Caenorhabditis elegans: one gene and its partners. The protein of the gene in region 4 purifies or fractionates together with the protein of the main gene of each other region. This does not show direct contact. Each region holds a gene or a part of one and is shown on either strand. Other genes may lie near its edges.

Region 1 (5,064 bases), on a different chromosome or scaffold from region 4:
CAGTGACGTCATTTTCGACACGAGTCACTCGCGGCACTAGAGAGACTCTAAAGATTAAAATAAATTTTCAGTAGTACGGTAAAACCCAAACGTGGCAATATAATATGAATAAAACCCAAAGTACGCATAATTTGAAAAGTGTGCGTGGGGTAATAGAGAGAATAGAGAAGCTGTCCTTTTTCTCTTGAAAAAGAGCAAGTCCTCTTTTCTACATCGTCCTTTTTCTTCATCTTCTTCCAGTTTGTCTATCTTTTCTGCGTCTCTTCACTCTCAACTCCCCCCACTTTGTCGACCACGGGGTATCCCCGTTGGTCTTGTGAAAGTGAGATAGTATTGTGAATCGAGATATCACTAGAGAAACTGAAAAGAACCCCACGCGAGGCACAGAGAAACTTCTCCGGACACTCTTTGCTTTTTATTGTCTCTAGCCGTTTCTCTGCGTCTCCAGGGTTCCGGTGTATTCTATGAGGTGTGTGCTGGCTCTATGCCAAGTCAAGGAATCGAAAAAGCTTTTGAATTCCAAATTTCTAGTAATTTATCATTCAAAAAGGTGAAAAGTAAATAAGGAAAGTTCAGAAAACCAAGAACAAAAATACAAGTAAACAATAAAAATATAAAAACCCTTTATTTTCGCATTAAATTTTCTCTCGGATCGATTCTTCCTCTACTTACTATAAAATAAAAATATGAATACAAAAAAGAATTAACACATAATAAAAGGCGAACCGATTTGTGATTGAAGAATCAAATCGAAAACAGAAAATCGAAGACGACGACGACAAAAATCTACGAAATCTACTGAAAAAAAACAGCTTGGAGCGATGAGAATAAGAGATGGATTTAGTGATGATGGTGCACATAATCCGGATCGTATGAATCCGAATCCAAATCCAGCGATGTCTCGTGAGATGTCAAATCATCATAGTATGCCTCTCGGAAGTAGTATTCATACCTGAACAATAGAAAAATGTTAATTCGAAAAAAGAATTTTTTATAAAATTGAAAGTTTAGCTATACGGATTTTTAAAAAGTACAGCTTTAAAAAAAATCTTATGCTGTTGCTTTTGAACTTTTTAAAATGCAAATAACATAAATAAGAATTCAAAGGTGGAGACTATTCGAATTTTTGCTTCAAATGGTAGAAAATAGACCGTAATGTCCGAATATCATATATTCATGATTCATTTATGTGGTAATTCAAAAATAATTTTTAACATTTTTGAAAATTGAAAAAATTTATAATTTTTTTGTTTTCGGTATTTTCGGTTCATTTTCTATTACTTAAAGCAAATTTTCAAATTGACTCTACTCCACCTTCAAGTTAAATTTCAAATATTGAAAACAACTTACCATGGTTCTGGAAGATGGTGTCCAGTGTGCCATGCATTGAGTCCTGCTTGATGATCACCATTCTTGGCAATATATCCATAGCCATATGGTGACTTGAGAACCTCTTTACGCATTACGTGAAGGAAGTGTCCAGTATCACGTGGATTTGTGTACAGCTCTCCAACTTCGTGTTTTGGAATTCCATCGAATGCAAGCATACGGGCATCGTATTTATTGGTGACACTAGAAGATATTATATATTATACAATGTGGATGAAACTTTTAAAATTCAATTAAAATACTTTCTCAATGTTATATCAGGGCTGTAGATTTTTACGATATTCGTAAATCGTTTTTTTCGTGGTTTTTACAAAAATCCATTTTTTGCATTTTTTTTTCAAAAAAAAAACCGAAAAATTCTGTTACCCTGTCGCTGACTGAAAAACACATACTTGTTTGTTTTTAATTTATGTCTTTCAGTATATCAAAATTAAAAATTGTGTTTTTTTGCTCTTTTTTTTGAATAAAGCGAAATACATTTTTTTTGCTAAAAACACAAAAAAAACCAAAAATCTTTTGCCTTGATGGGGACACAATTTCGCAGAAATCATTTTCTGTCCATGTTTGCAAAATTTAAAAATAAAAAAAAAACAAGTTTTGGCCAGTTTCAATTCCTAGAATGTTAAATTTCCTAAAAATTTTGATGGCTTTTTTGTTGGTATTTTCAATAAATTAATCGTTTCGTTTTATCAATGAAAATGTATGATCTCGAATATATTTCTCAAAAAAAAAACTCACTATTGTCTCCATCCATTCCATCCAACTGAATCAACAATTGTATTCCACTCTTCCATAACATCACCACTGTGCCATTCAAAGAAGTCCAAGTCAAGTCGTTCGATATCCTTTAAAAATTATGTTTTTTTTCTTTTAAGAATTTCGAACTTTTCCTTACCTCAACAACAGCATCCGTGTCTCCTGGTTTTGTCCAGTCATAGGCAAGAATCTTCGAGTGATTACGGTATTCACGAAGTGAATCCTTGTAAGACTCCTCAATTGTTTTTAAGTAACGCTCGTCAACTGTTGCAATTTCGTCTGTCTGAAAATTAATAAAATTTTGAATATCTTTATGAGAAATCTAGCTTACGTTTCCTCGTCTCTTGATATTTTCAAGGCATTTATTGGTTGGTGTATTCAAATAAACAACCAAATGAGGCCAGAAATGTAGTTGAGGAAGAGCATTTTTACGGACAAAGTAATAATGCTTGAAGTCTAGAAACAATTATTTTGAAAGAAAATTCATGAATACAATAAACGTACATTCATGTCCAATATAATTCTTATCTCTCATTGCATTGGCAAAAACGAAATCCGAATGTGGAGTACGTTCGAGCACAACTCCTTGACCGGTATTGAGAATATGAGCAAGTGCGTTGAGATATTGATCGAAACGGCAGTTGAAAATGCGATCTTGCATGGCAGCTGAGAGTTCACCACTTGGATTCTTATAGAACATGGAAATGTCTGGAAGACGGTAACGAGCTGGGAACTGGAATAATATTACATTTAAGAGTTAGGTTGAATTATTATTTACTTTATTATAATAATTGCGAAGATCATTTCCGTAGCGATCGACGAGAATATCGTCCATTCTAAATTCTGGGAAATGAACGAAGCCGAGTTGATCAGCAAGTTGTTTGGCTAAAGTTGTCTTTCCGGATCCAATATTTCCTTCAACAACGATAAGCTTGGAATTTTGATGGAAATGAGAACGAGTGTCGTCTTTTAATCCATCAATATAATTGAATCCATTGTGCTTATAGTCCCATGGTTCTGGATGTTCAGATGGAAGTCTTAGAAGACTTTTATGAACAACTCCTCTGACTTGATTTGAGAGTGCTCCTGATCTGGAGCAGGCCAGCAAACCGGTTGCCAGCCCTCCCAATTTGCTCATGGAACCCGGCATGATGGTCTTAACAAGGAACAAGATAATAAGATTAAATTGGAAAATGAACAAAATAAAATATTAGAATAGGTTTGAAAACCATTAGAAATAAATTATTCTACAGAAAATATTGCAATTGAAGCTTTATTAGAATCTGCCCTCGAATAGTTGAACTTCTGAGCAGAAAAAAGTCAATAACTTAAAAATATAAATTAGAAGATACCGTTCAGGTTTGAAAAAGTGTTTAGGAATACAAAATGATTTGAGAGGACGAGATAGAAAGCAGAAGGAAAAATCGGTAAATTTCAGATCGAAGGATACAAAACAAACATAAAAGCGAGGAAAATCCACAAGGCCTTTGGTTTCAGAATCAACGGCGATCACCATATCGACCTCCACCACCACCTCCGCTACTTCCACCACCGCTTCGATATCCACCACCGGATCCTCCACCTGTACTGTATCGGCTTCCTCCACGGTCACCTCCTCTATCACCTCCTCTATCACGATCACCTCCGTATCCACCACCACCACTTCGATCATTGAAACGATCACGGCCTCTGAAAATATTAATTAAAACAAGTGAAGAAAAATACAAATAAGATGTCGAAATCTTATAAAAACTAACCCTCCACCGAATCCGCCACCTCCACCGCGATTATCTCTAAATCCGCCCGATGATTCTCGTCGATCACGATCATTTCCTCCACCATTACGGTAAGAATCTTGACGTCTATCCCGACTACCACTTCTTTCTCTATCTCGATCCTCGTACCCACCTCCAAATCCAGACGCAATTTCACGTTCTTCAATGACTGATTTAGCTTCGCGAGTTTTACGAGTATCTCCTTTTCCACCGCCAAGTCTTCTAGGCAACCATGTCTTCTGAGTACGACCTCTTTCATAGTCGACAACTAGACGTTTACCATCAACTTTGATTCCGTCAGCTTTTTTGTAAGCGGCTGAAAATAATACTCGAATATTATGTTCAATAAGGAATAAGGTGAGAGAATACGGATTTGTGTGTCTACTCAATAAATATCTTACCTAACCTACCAAAAAAGCGCTCACAGGCCTCCATGTCATTCGCGGAATTGACTACTTACCCAACCACTTACCCGCGATTCAGAAAATGTGTTAGACTTCAAACTTACAGACAAAACTTACGGGAAAACTTACAAAAAGCGGCAAGAAACTTACAAAAATAATCCCAAGATGATTTTTTTGATGTTTGTGAGGAAAACTTACAAAGCGTGTACCTTACCCATTCAAAAAATAAAAAAATAAATCTGAATTCTTGGATTTTTTCCTAATCTAGTAGCCTAAATGAAATTCAAAGACCTAGTACTAAAAAAAGAGTTTATATCAGAAATTTTCAGCTTAACAAATTAATAAAGTTTTTAAATGCGATAATATGCCTAAAACCTTTTTAGCAAGCGTGCAATTTTAAATAATGTTTTTTTTCTTGGAAAGACTCGTTTCTTAAAATGCTAATTCCTTTTTTTTTTAATTTCTTGTTTTTTATTTGAGCTCACCAACAAACAAACCTATCAGAAATTAATCGATAGGAGAGTTGCGCGCTCTGCCATTCCCATTCATTTCCCAGGATTTCACAATGGCCGCGTGGCTGTAAAAATTACAAAAATAGGAGCGTGTTCCTTGAAAATTGGTTTTTAAAATAAAATTTCTGTTGTTTTTTTGAGCAAAAGGTTCAGCCAATGATTTTTTGTTTTATGACAAACAAACTGCAACCCACTATGCATCTCAGCCTTGTCACTGTATTCGATAAA
Region 2 (3,726 bases), on a different chromosome or scaffold from region 4:
CTAGGGGATGCGTTTGCTGCTTCAATGGTTCAGCATTTATTGCAGGTTTGATAGAAAACTCGAACTTGGAGACAATTGTATATTTTAAGAAAAAGCTGGATCAAGCAGACGCTCGTCACGATTATAAGACTGAACTGAAAGGAGAAATTGAACTATTGAAGTCAGCTGCCACCAGTAGAAGACCATCATTCACAATGTCAGAAGCTTCTAAGGAGCTCTTCTTGACACACGCGAACACAGCTGGAAACTCAAGAATTGGATCACGAATTGGCTCTCGTCGTCCTTCATCCACCAACTTGCATCTTTCCTGGCGTAATAATAACATTGAACCACCATACACACCTCTGCCCAACGATGAAAACGTGTAGTTCCATGATCAATATTTACATTTTTTGTCCATGTCACTTTTCCATTCCAAAACAGAAAACGGTTATTCTCTCCTCTTTCCGCGAGAACCCATGGATTGTTTTGTACATATCATTTTTACTATTTTAAGCCACTGATGAAACTCAATAATTTATGTTTGTAAAATTTAGCAGAAAAGTAAATAGCGCATGACATTTCTTTTTTTTCGAAGTTTAGAGAACATAAATCGACATTGAAAAATCAACGGTTGAGGACTAAAAGAATTTTAAGAACGCTATTGATGGGAGAATGGAAGTGATCGGAAGATCTAGTTGGATGGATCGAATTCGAGTCCAAGTCCGAACTTGTGAGCATCATTGGCAGCAAGGTTGAATTGAGTGGAAAGTGTCAGCTTAAGAGCTGGAGACAAGGAGTGTGTGGCAGCAACGGCAACTTGGGAAGAGCTGTTGACCTTGGCGCGGACAGTAAGGTCACGGCTTGGAGCATACTTGGTGGCGAGAGCGTAGTCAGCTCCGTTTCCACCAACCTGAAAATTCACTTTAGTTTTGGTTCTAGGATTTTAAAAAGTTTACCTTCCATCCGAGTTGAGTTCCAACCTCGACGTTGGAGGCAACCTTGTGGTAAAGGGAAGCTCCGAAGTCGGTTGAGTTAATAACGAAAGAGTGGAGGGTGTATTGTGGAGTGGAGTGTCCGAAAGCCAAAGAAGTGGCTGCCAACTTATTCGATGAAGAATCGAAGGTGGCGGCAGCTCCGATGAGCCATCCGTCACGGGAGAAGACTCCGGCAGCGTTGATAACTGGAGCAGAGGTGACTCCAACATCAGCGGTAACCTGTAAATGGCTAATTTGTTTCATTTCACAAAGATGGATTTTTGAAATCTCTATTTCTACATTCAGAAAATCGAACCCTGAAACAATCATGCTTCCAGTCAAGCTTGAGACGAGCTTCGCCAATCTTATCACCCAAAATATGTACAAGACTACTCACTCTAGCAGTTGGGAGAGCCCAGTCGAGCTTCACTTTTCCGCTTCTCTTTCCGGCGTGTGGGGCATAAAGAGAATCGAGAGTGACCTTGAGTCCACGTCCGAATTGCTCATTAACTTCGATAACAGTTCCGAGCTGGTTCTCGGTGTTCCATTTCTCGGTCAAAGTGATTCCTGAAAACGAAACAACATGATTGATATCTCTCACACAATATGTTGTATTTTTGTTGAGCGGTCGCTAGACGTCACGTGGTGTTTTAGAGTACATACAATTGCATCACCTGCGTCACGAGGTTGTCCCCATCTAGCGGGTAGACAATAAGATGTTCAGACGAGCTTACCGTATTGTGGGATCTTGTACTTGACATCGAGATTTCCTCCAAGCTTTCCGGATCCGATATTGTGAGAAGCGGCTGATTTGAACTCAACCTCCTTGTTGTCTCCAGCTCTAGTGGTGGAGTCGATCTTGAGGAATCCAAAGTCTGGAAAAAAATTAATCAGGCGAATAAATGACCTAACACTATTCCTCTCTACAAAGATAAAATTGAAACTTACTGTATCCTTTGTTGAAGAGGTCCTTGGCGGACTTTCCAAGATCAGCGAAGGTTGGTGGGGCCATTTTCTAAACACAAAATATTTTTTGAAACATGCATTCTAGAGTTACACGAGAGAAGGAAAATAGGAAATTTTCGAAAAATGAAGGCTTTGAAAATGTTTGCATTGAGCAGTGCATACGAGAAAAACGGAAAGAAAGAGATAAACCAACTCAATGGCAGCAGTAGGAAGTCGATAAACAATGCGCCAGAAAACACAACATCGCCAAAAAATATATTCAGGGTTTCAGTTAAATGATTTACAATTATCTTATCGGGAAATTCAGAAGCAAACATTTGTAACATAAAACTCCGACGGTATCGAAAACATTGAATGCGATAGAGAAAGGACAGATCACGCCACAACAGCAAATTGAGAGTTCAAAGGCAAGCACATTGGCGCGGCGACCGCCCGTCTCGAGACATAGGACGAAAATGAGAGGCACAGAGACTGGTTACTGCAGCGCGACCGCTCCGCTTCCAAAAGTACTGGATTATTTTGGCAGTTTTTCAAAATTGAATGATGCACTGAGAAGAAAAGATTTGATGCAATGAAAGAAATATTGACTAACGAAACAAAATGAAATTAGCAAGAAATCTCAAATTTAGCGTTAAACCAGGAAATGGTACCGGAAATTGAGCACAAATCCAAATAGTTTCCGCATCACCTGGTTCAGCGAATTCAGTTCACTTCTGTCACTTGCATCTAACCTATTCGAAATGTACCGCTCGGAAGTCTCTAAGCCACAACTGGAAAATCCAAACCTAGTCGATAGAATAATTGTAATTATTCTGCCGAACTATTTCTATGAATATGAATCCGTACTGAAGCACATAACAAAAGAAAACTTCGGGATTATAGAGGTAAGTTGTATATATGAAAATTAAAGAAGAAGAAACTGATTATTTAGAAAACTGTGAAGCATTTTAAAACTGAAGAAGTCATGGAGTGGAAAAGTGCTGATCTTGAATCCCAAGATATCTGGAACTTATCAGACAGGCTAATAGACGGACCATGCATGTTACTATTGTGTCAACGAGCGAATGCTTTTATTGAGATGAAAGAAGTGGCCAAATATCACAATGTGATCGCTAAGAGGTGAGCAAAGACCAACAAACATCCGAAAATACTGAAAAACAATGGAAGAAAAACATTGCGCACAGTTGAAAATAACCGTTACCGTAGTCTCGTTTCGGTACGAAACCTTCACACTTTTGGAGGTTTTTCAAAAAATCTATCCGAAGAGTTTTAAAACTTCACAAGCGTTTAATTCAGAATGAGTTCAAGTGATGGAATATATTATTCAAAAACGACAATTGCCGCCTATCACGATATAATTTTCTTTTTCCCCAAGTGTAAGATTCCATAAAGTTAGAATTTTGACTCTCCCATAAAAATATATTCAGACATTGACGAAAGAGCAATGCTGAAACATGCCAAGGATTATCTCTCAGTAGAAGTATGGCCGAAACTGAGCCAGGGACTGGCTCGCGTAGCAGTTGAGAGACCGGATAATCCAATTGTTTGTTTTCGAATACACCATTTAGTAACATGATTTTTTTGACTCTTTCAGAAATGGCTCGCAGATTATCTACACCAACTACGCCAATAAGTTTATGTTTCTAAAAAATAATATAGTGTAAATACCCATAAACCAATAAAACAATAAATTTTTTAAAAATATGCATTAAAAATTAACTACAAAACTATGCGAAAGAAAGGGCAGTAGAACATATATTACATGTAATCAGATAACACACAGGTAGTGATAAAAACGGCTTTG
Region 3 (3,621 bases), on a different chromosome or scaffold from region 4:
ATTGGAAACATCAATAAAAAAATCCGGCAGAAATCACAGTTTTTAATTACAGTACTCTTTAAAAGCGCACACCTTTTCTCATTCAACAAAAATTGTCGTGTCGAGACCGGCTACCGTATTTTTGTTGATAAATCGCAAATTTCGCGTTTTACCTCATATCTTCCCGTCTTGTTTTCCTTGATCTTTCTGTAGAAGAAATTAAGAAACTGAATATCTGAAATTTCGATTTGTTAACAGTTTTTCCTGTAAAATAAACCTTTATAAGCCGCTGTAAAATTCTTCATTCTCGAATCGTCCAGAAATAGGAAACCATTGTGGCTCACATAGTAAAAATATTCTCTGAAAACTCAAATTCAAAAAGAAACAATTAATTTAAAAATAAAACCTTATTTTTCCGTTATACTGCCCCTGTGTGTAGAGACTTCGTGCAAATGTCAGTATCATTTCCGAAACTTAAAAAAGTTAAATTTTGATTTAAATTAATTTGAAAAGAAAAGCTGACTGGTAATATTTCCGTTTCTCATAAATTCATATTCAAATCTTTATAAATCAATCAAACAATCTACATTTATTCACTTTCTGAATGGAATAAAAGAACGCAACATGAAAAAGAAAAAAAAGTTGTTACGACGGAATAAGAAAACTCAACACAATTCGTTCTAAAAAATTTCATTGAAAAAGAAAAGATTGACAGCGTAGAATTAGAAGAGACGGAAGTCGGACTTCTTTCCTTGATCCTTGTCGAATTCTGGGTCTTGTGAGACCTGAAAATATAAAATTTTAATTTTCGATCCAGGATTCTCTCGTAGCTTCTTTTTTAAAATTAAATCTTGAAAGAATATTTACCTTCTTGTAGTATTCCCAATCCTTGGACAATGGCTTGTCACCCTCGAGTGCTGACTTGCTCATTTGGAACTCATATGGTGGCTCATAGTTCTTCTTGTCTTGATAGAACATTCCCTTCTTCCAGAATGAATAGTCAAACTCTCCATTAGCAAGTCGTGCTTTATGATCAGCAAGCTTAGCTGCACGCTCATCCATAATCTCTGGATGACGTCGTTCCCAGATCATTCGATGCTTCTGCTTCATATAAGCATCACGAACATCGGATTCTCCTCCCAACTCTCCGTATTTCATGAAGAAATTCAACTCATTCTCTTCCATATCCTCAATAACCTTGGCACATGGTGAATGATCAGGATTGTTGTAAAGCATACACCGATCAACACGTTGGCGGAGGGTTTGCAGAATAAATCCATCGACCATTTTATCAAGACGGTACTGCTCATTGGCTTCGTAGAAGCAGGCCTTGTCGTTCACTCCGCATTCGTCGATTTCCGGAACACGTGTAAGTTGACGGTGATAGTAGGGTAGACGGTTCTTGTTGTTGAGTGGTTGCACAATAGTCTCTGAAAAGCTGACGAGTTAGTAGAATAGATTAAAATGGATTGTTTTGCCTAGTTGATTTATTATGTGGAACTGCAACTACTAACTGTACATCAGCTTGAGGTAGTCGAATAACTTTGGTTTTTTTCTAGTTTAAAATTATAATTTACAGCAATGATATGGGAATTAGAAATTAACCTTTACTTGCACCACAAGTTCCCAAATTTTTTGAATCTGGATAAAACCGTAGACAGTATCAATTACTTGGAATTAAAACAAATGGTGAAAGTAAATAAACTTGAACGAAATTTGTTTTCTGTCAATTCTTACATTTTGTAAATGGTTTTAAATCTAATTTCAAAGCTGCTTCTTCTTTAAATGATTCTCCAACTTGAGAATTTTAAAAATTACCTCTGAACCAAGTTGCTGGGGCGTCGAAAGCCTTATGGGCATAATAACGGAATCGTGGGTAGATGGATCCTCGTGAATCGATATCACGAACTTTCCAGTAAGCATCCCAAGATGCTTTATCGTCAGCTTGACGTTGCTCCACTAAGCCTTCACCCATACTGAATGTCGAAAATTTTCCATTGTGAATTGAGAATATTGAGTAATAAATATTAAAACAACGAAGAAACGTTGAAAATTGAAATATTACATAGAACAAGACGATAAATTAAATTTTTAAAAAGTTCAACAACAAAAGGAAAAAAAAATCAACAATAGCAGGAATTACACTGAAAAATTAAAAATTGAGATAAAGATTCTTAATCACTGACAGATCGTGTGTAATTATTCTGAACCAGGGTGATAAGCTCATCTTCGTCAGTGATAAACTCTGATTTATTGATAATATCGTGAATCTTGATAATATCATCAGAAGTCGAAGCACTAATCCAGATTCTTCCGTTCATTCCAACAGTGATTTCGAATTTGAAGAACTTGCCAACAGTTTGAAGAATTTTGCAAGATGGGTTGATTAGTCGACGACAATGATTCAAGGAGACCTATAATAATTTTTAAATTTTACAATAAATAGTAAATTTCGTGTCTAACTTTGAACATGAATCCTCCATTTAGCTGTCCCATTCCACGTGCTCGTTTCTCGTCATCCACACAGGTAAGCTCTGCTTCAGTTCTTGGAGTTGTGTCGAAAACTGTTGCATAAATAATATCTCCAGTTTTTAGATTCGGCCTATTCCTTTTAGTAGCACCTTCGAAGTTAGTAAAGTTGATCATGGCGTATTCGGCAGTTCCTATGTCCAAACGAAAGAAATCACCAGTTTTTGAAGTGACAATAGCGATTACTCGGTCTCCTTCCTGTGGTATATATCTGAATTTAAGAAAAATTGTGATTTTAAATGTTGTTCGTGATCATTCTTACCTTTTGCTGTGAACATTTAACCAGACTTTTCCATCATCGTTGTGGAAAGCTCCAGGTTGAGTGGCAATTCTCGTTTGGCCACGTACACTAATTCCGTAGCCAATGATTGAGGAATCGCTTGAAGAAGGTTCATTGATAACGTCGCCAGGGAGATATACGGTCATTTCTGAAAATTGAATACTCAATGATGAACAAAATAACGTTTTAAAAAGTAGTGGCGAATAGAAAAACCAAATTTAAATACCGCAGGAGGAATAACGTAATAAGCTACGTTAATAAAGTGTTTTCAATGAGTATATTAACTGAAAATTGTAAATTTTTGCAATAAAATTAATCAAAAAGTGATAATATTTCGCAAAATAAACGGAAAAACTAGAAAAATAAGAAATAAAAATGGAGCGGCTGTTGAAAGTCTGCGACTTGACGTGACGGTGTTTGCGGTGTTGTATACCGTACCCATTGATTTTTATTTGATATGTTGGAAATTGCAATTAATATTAATTGTCAAGGACTAAAAGAAAAATAACACTGAAAACATAAATGCGTGGCAATTTTTTAAAATAAATATCGACACGTACACCGAGAAAAATTTAGTTTCAAATACAGTTCAACTGAGTTTTTAGTGGTCAAACTGGTTTGTAAATGGTATGTAATATAGTTAGGTTTTTTGAAGTTAAAGTTTTCCCATTCAGCTAGTTGTTGTTCTTTCCGGTATTATTGCCACGTGTCTGGCCGTGAAGCAGACAGATTTTTCCGTGCATATCAAAGGACAACTTGTGTGTGATGATGTCCCTGCTGCCAACATGCCAATGGACATTTTTTCTGAAGCACAAATGTGTAAGAGAGTTTGA
Region 4 (3,056 bases):
TCTATTAAAACGAAAACAATTTTATCCGTTTCTCATCAGTTAAAAATTGAAATATATAATATTTAATTGATATTTGCCTACTTAGGAGTATTTAATTCAAAGAAATCAAGATTTTCAGTTTATTTTTTTTTGTTTTTCTGAACAAAACATACCGATTTCTGGAAGCTGGCAATTGTCCATCTCCAGAATCATCTCCAACTAATAACTGCTGACTATCGGTTGTTTCGCTTCGGGAAAGTAGGGAAAATCCTCTGAAACTTCAAACTTTATACATTTCTTCTAAGTGAAATTTGTTACCCAATAGACGTTGGAAGCTTGTTGCGAAGTGAATCAAATGAAGAAAATGAAGCTGAACTGCTGATACCACTTCCTTTCTTCTTCTGATCATTTATGAACTGCTCTAGAGCAGACATGCCCTTTAAATTGTTGTTGTAAAACATTTATTGACATCGTTATCATAGAAACCTTTCTGGCAGAATACCAATTTTCAACGAGGGTGAATTGCGATTTTAAAAATGAATGATTTATTGGAGTTTAAGAAACTACATACACAAAAAGAAAACTTTTAAACTAAAAAAAAAGAAATCGGCTCGAGATTTGAAACAGATAATTCTAATGATGACCATCCCATGAGGTGGTTCCGTGAGTCTTGTATTGGTAAGCTTCTTCAACGAAAATCAAGGCAGCTGTGAATGCAACTCCAGCTTTCCATCCAGGAAGAATCAACTGAAATTTATTAAATAATTTTAAAAAATTCCCTAAATACATTAATATAATTTTTGGAAAATCGGCTTGCTCGGAAATTTTCCAAACAAGAGCACATTTATAGGATACAATCCATAAAAATTTTTTAATATTATGTTGGTATTATATTAATAATATTTAATTCATCTCGAAGAAAACACGAACCTTCTTGAAATGAGCCCATTGTCCAACAACGTGTGGATACTTTCGATCGTACAAGTAGACGTAGTTTCTGAAAGAAAAATCAATAATATATTTATTAATATTATCGATAAAAAACCGACCTGATCCATGGATCCTTCAATCCGATTTGAGCGAGTCGTTTTTCATGCTGCGCCAACTGTGGAAAATCGCGAAAATTGCTGTAGATTGAGTAGTTTGGGATCTTAAACGGCTCGTGATGTCCTCCACCCATTCTGGAATTAAAATAATTGAAAAAAAATGTTTTAGAAACCTGTATTATGAAAATAAATGAAGAGAACGATAAAATCAGAAAGAAATGCCAGCCGAGTTTGTGTAGATTTACGCGGTGTGTAAGCGTGCGGCAGTTGCGTTTTCCGTCAGAGCGCAACTGCGGCACACTTTTCTCAATCAATTGTCAGGAGATTTTGGCTTGTTCCAACGCACCACTTTTGTTTTGGCTGTATTTTCAGATTCTCAACATTTTTTCTGCTTTTTTAATAAAGGAAAACTTTAACCATGTCGAAACGTAATCAAAAAGTGAGTTTTTATTCGGAAAAATCAATATTAACTAGAAAAGAACGATGTTTTAATTCAAATTTCAGGGCGTATCTACGGAAGATGCCGTAAAAATGACGAAGGAGCAAGAAGACATTGCCAAATACATCAGATTCAATTGTCCGACAGCCACGACCATGTTTGAAGGAAACGAAGTTCATTATTTCAGTGGTATGTACAAATTTCAATTGTTTATATTAATATCGCATATATTTTCAGGAAATAAAGCTGTCGATACTCTTTGGGAATCCAAGTACGGAAATAAAGCAAAGAAAGATGCAATGTTTAAAACAAGGTGGGCATTCTGTAGAAATTACGTAAATTTAAATAGATTCTAAATTTTCAGAGATGATTGCTTCCATTATATTTGCGAACTCAACTCGAAACAATTATTCTTCCGTGCAAAAAAATTAGTAGCAAAGAAAAAAGAGAATAAAGATAAAGGAAACGATTCTTCTGGTAATCATAAAACTTAAAAAATATCTTAAAACACGTTTTTTTCAGCTGAAGTTACCAAATCTCCAAAAGGTGTAGTTGAAAAGAGAAATAAAAAAGCCAAAGAAGAAGAAACAGCAACCGAAGCTGAAGGTGATGAGAAAGAAGTGAAAAAAGACGAAAAGAAAGACGAAGAAAAAAAGAAAAAGAAGGTGAAGCTTCTTGTACATGAAGTTCAAGCATTCGTCGATGACAAAGATGTCTACGTTTGGGTATTCGATCCAACTCCTCTCATGAAAAAGATTATTGGAGTACTTATGCGTAAGTTTTCCCTTTTTGATTTGTTATTTCCTGCTTTAGAAATGATTCAATGTGTAAAATTAAAATCCAATTAATATATTTCAGTCGTCGGTACAATTGTCGGATGCTTGTTCCCTCTATGGCCTGTATGGCTTCGCCAAGGAGTTTATTACGTATCAATTACTGGAATTGGATGTTTTGCAGCTATCATTGTCACTGCTATACGTGAGTTGTTTCAACAATAATATTCATTTTTCGATTATTTTCAGTCCGTACTATTCTTTTCGGAATTATCTACGCTGTTACTTTCGGAAAACACAAACTCTGGGTTCTGCCGAACTTGACTGAAGACTGTGGAGTTCTTGAATCATTCCAACCATGGTATACTTATGAGTATGTTGGTGATGAGAAGAAAGAAGCTAAGAAAGATAAGAAAGATAAAAAGTCGAAAAAAGAAAAGGATTCTGATGCAGAAGAGGAGGAGCAAGACCACATTGCTGCTGAACAGGAGCAAAAAGAGGAAGAAGACGATGATGCTGAAAAAAATAGTCAGGCATCAACTGATGATAATTATGAAAAAATTGAAGACGAGGTAATCTGATAAGTGTTTCAATTTAAATAATTATAATTTTGAAATTTAGGAAATCTCTGCTCCACCATCACCAAGTGACGATGCTCCTCGAAAACGTCGTCCAGCTAAAGTCTAGAAATTTAGTTTATCCTGAAATTTTTCCATTCCACATTTCTGCATTTATGAAAACTTGTCCTGAAAATCTATTGCATTACCCTCATCCTGTCGGTTTCGTCACATTTTAAATACTATTTTTCGTCCCATTCTT

The links.
Region 1: the proteins of ndub-3 (region 4) and nuo-4 fractionate together in Caenorhabditis elegans (co-fractionation; one large-scale study listed by BioGRID). This does not show direct contact.
Region 2: the proteins of ndub-3 (region 4) and vdac-1 fractionate together in Caenorhabditis elegans (co-fractionation; one large-scale study listed by BioGRID). This does not show direct contact.
Region 3: the proteins of ndub-3 (region 4) and ndub-10 fractionate together in Caenorhabditis elegans (co-fractionation; one large-scale study listed by BioGRID). This does not show direct contact.

The regions. Positions count from the first base shown.
Region 1 is NC_003281.10:7,155,509-7,160,572, forward strand, and holds nuo-4 (NADH dehydrogenase [ubiquinone] 1 alpha subcomplex subunit 10, mitochondrial), read right to left. Parts: upstream 3,302-5,064; 5' UTR 3,296-3,301; coding exon 2,924-3,295; intron 2,879-2,923; coding exon 2,650-2,878; intron 2,602-2,649; coding exon 2,477-2,601; intron 2,429-2,476; coding exon 2,285-2,428; intron 2,235-2,284; coding exon 2,128-2,234; intron 1,573-2,127; coding exon 1,351-1,572; intron 953-1,350; coding exon 841-952; 3' UTR 518-840; downstream 1-517. Other genes in the region: rnp-7 (U1 small nuclear ribonucleoprotein 70 kDa), read right to left, coding at 3,645-3,834, 3,903-4,236, 5,031-5,064.
Region 2 is NC_003282.8:7,505,921-7,509,646, forward strand, and holds vdac-1 (putative voltage-dependent anion-selective channel), read right to left. Parts: upstream 1,972-3,726; 5' UTR 1,969-1,971; coding exon 1,905-1,968; intron 1,832-1,904; coding exon 1,691-1,831; intron 1,524-1,690; coding exon 1,354-1,523; intron 1,197-1,353; coding exon 939-1,196; intron 893-938; coding exon 674-892; 3' UTR 501-673; downstream 1-500. Other genes in the region: Putative sodium-dependent excitatory amino acid transporter glt-6, read left to right, coding at 1-45, 90-368; R05G6.5 (Uroporphyrinogen-III synthase), read left to right, coding at 2,663-2,806, 2,854-3,041, 3,219-3,298, 3,350-3,465, 3,517-3,555. UniProt on the Caenorhabditis elegans protein: Forms a channel through the cell membrane that allows diffusion of small hydrophilic molecules. Plays a role in maintaining mitochondrial morphology.
Region 3 is NC_003279.8:10,517,694-10,521,314, reverse strand, and holds ndub-10 (NADH dehydrogenase [ubiquinone] 1 beta subcomplex subunit 10), read right to left. Parts: upstream 1,956-3,621; 5' UTR 1,955-1,955; coding exon 1,798-1,954; intron 1,410-1,797; coding exon 847-1,409; intron 765-846; coding exon 702-764; 3' UTR 554-701; downstream 1-553. Other genes in the region: UPF0598 protein F59C6.12, read right to left, coding at 153-214, 257-339, 386-444; exos-3 (Exosome complex component RRP40), read right to left, coding at 2,154-2,393, 2,443-2,719, 2,771-2,934; nlp-4 (Transthyretin-like family protein), read left to right, coding at 3,413-3,415, 3,463-3,607.
Region 4 is NC_003280.10:8,963,731-8,966,786, forward strand, and holds ndub-3 (NADH dehydrogenase [ubiquinone] 1 beta subcomplex subunit 3), read right to left. Parts: upstream 1,161-3,056; 5' UTR 1,160-1,160; coding exon 1,029-1,159; intron 977-1,028; coding exon 910-976; intron 727-909; coding exon 613-726; 3' UTR 512-612; downstream 1-511. Other genes in the region: sftd-3 (Vesicle transport protein), read right to left, coding at 153-251, 298-413; sec-62 (Translocation protein SEC62), read left to right, coding at 1,444-1,464, 1,530-1,653, 1,702-1,777, 1,829-1,941, 1,987-2,238, 2,323-2,442, 2,487-2,809, 2,859-2,924.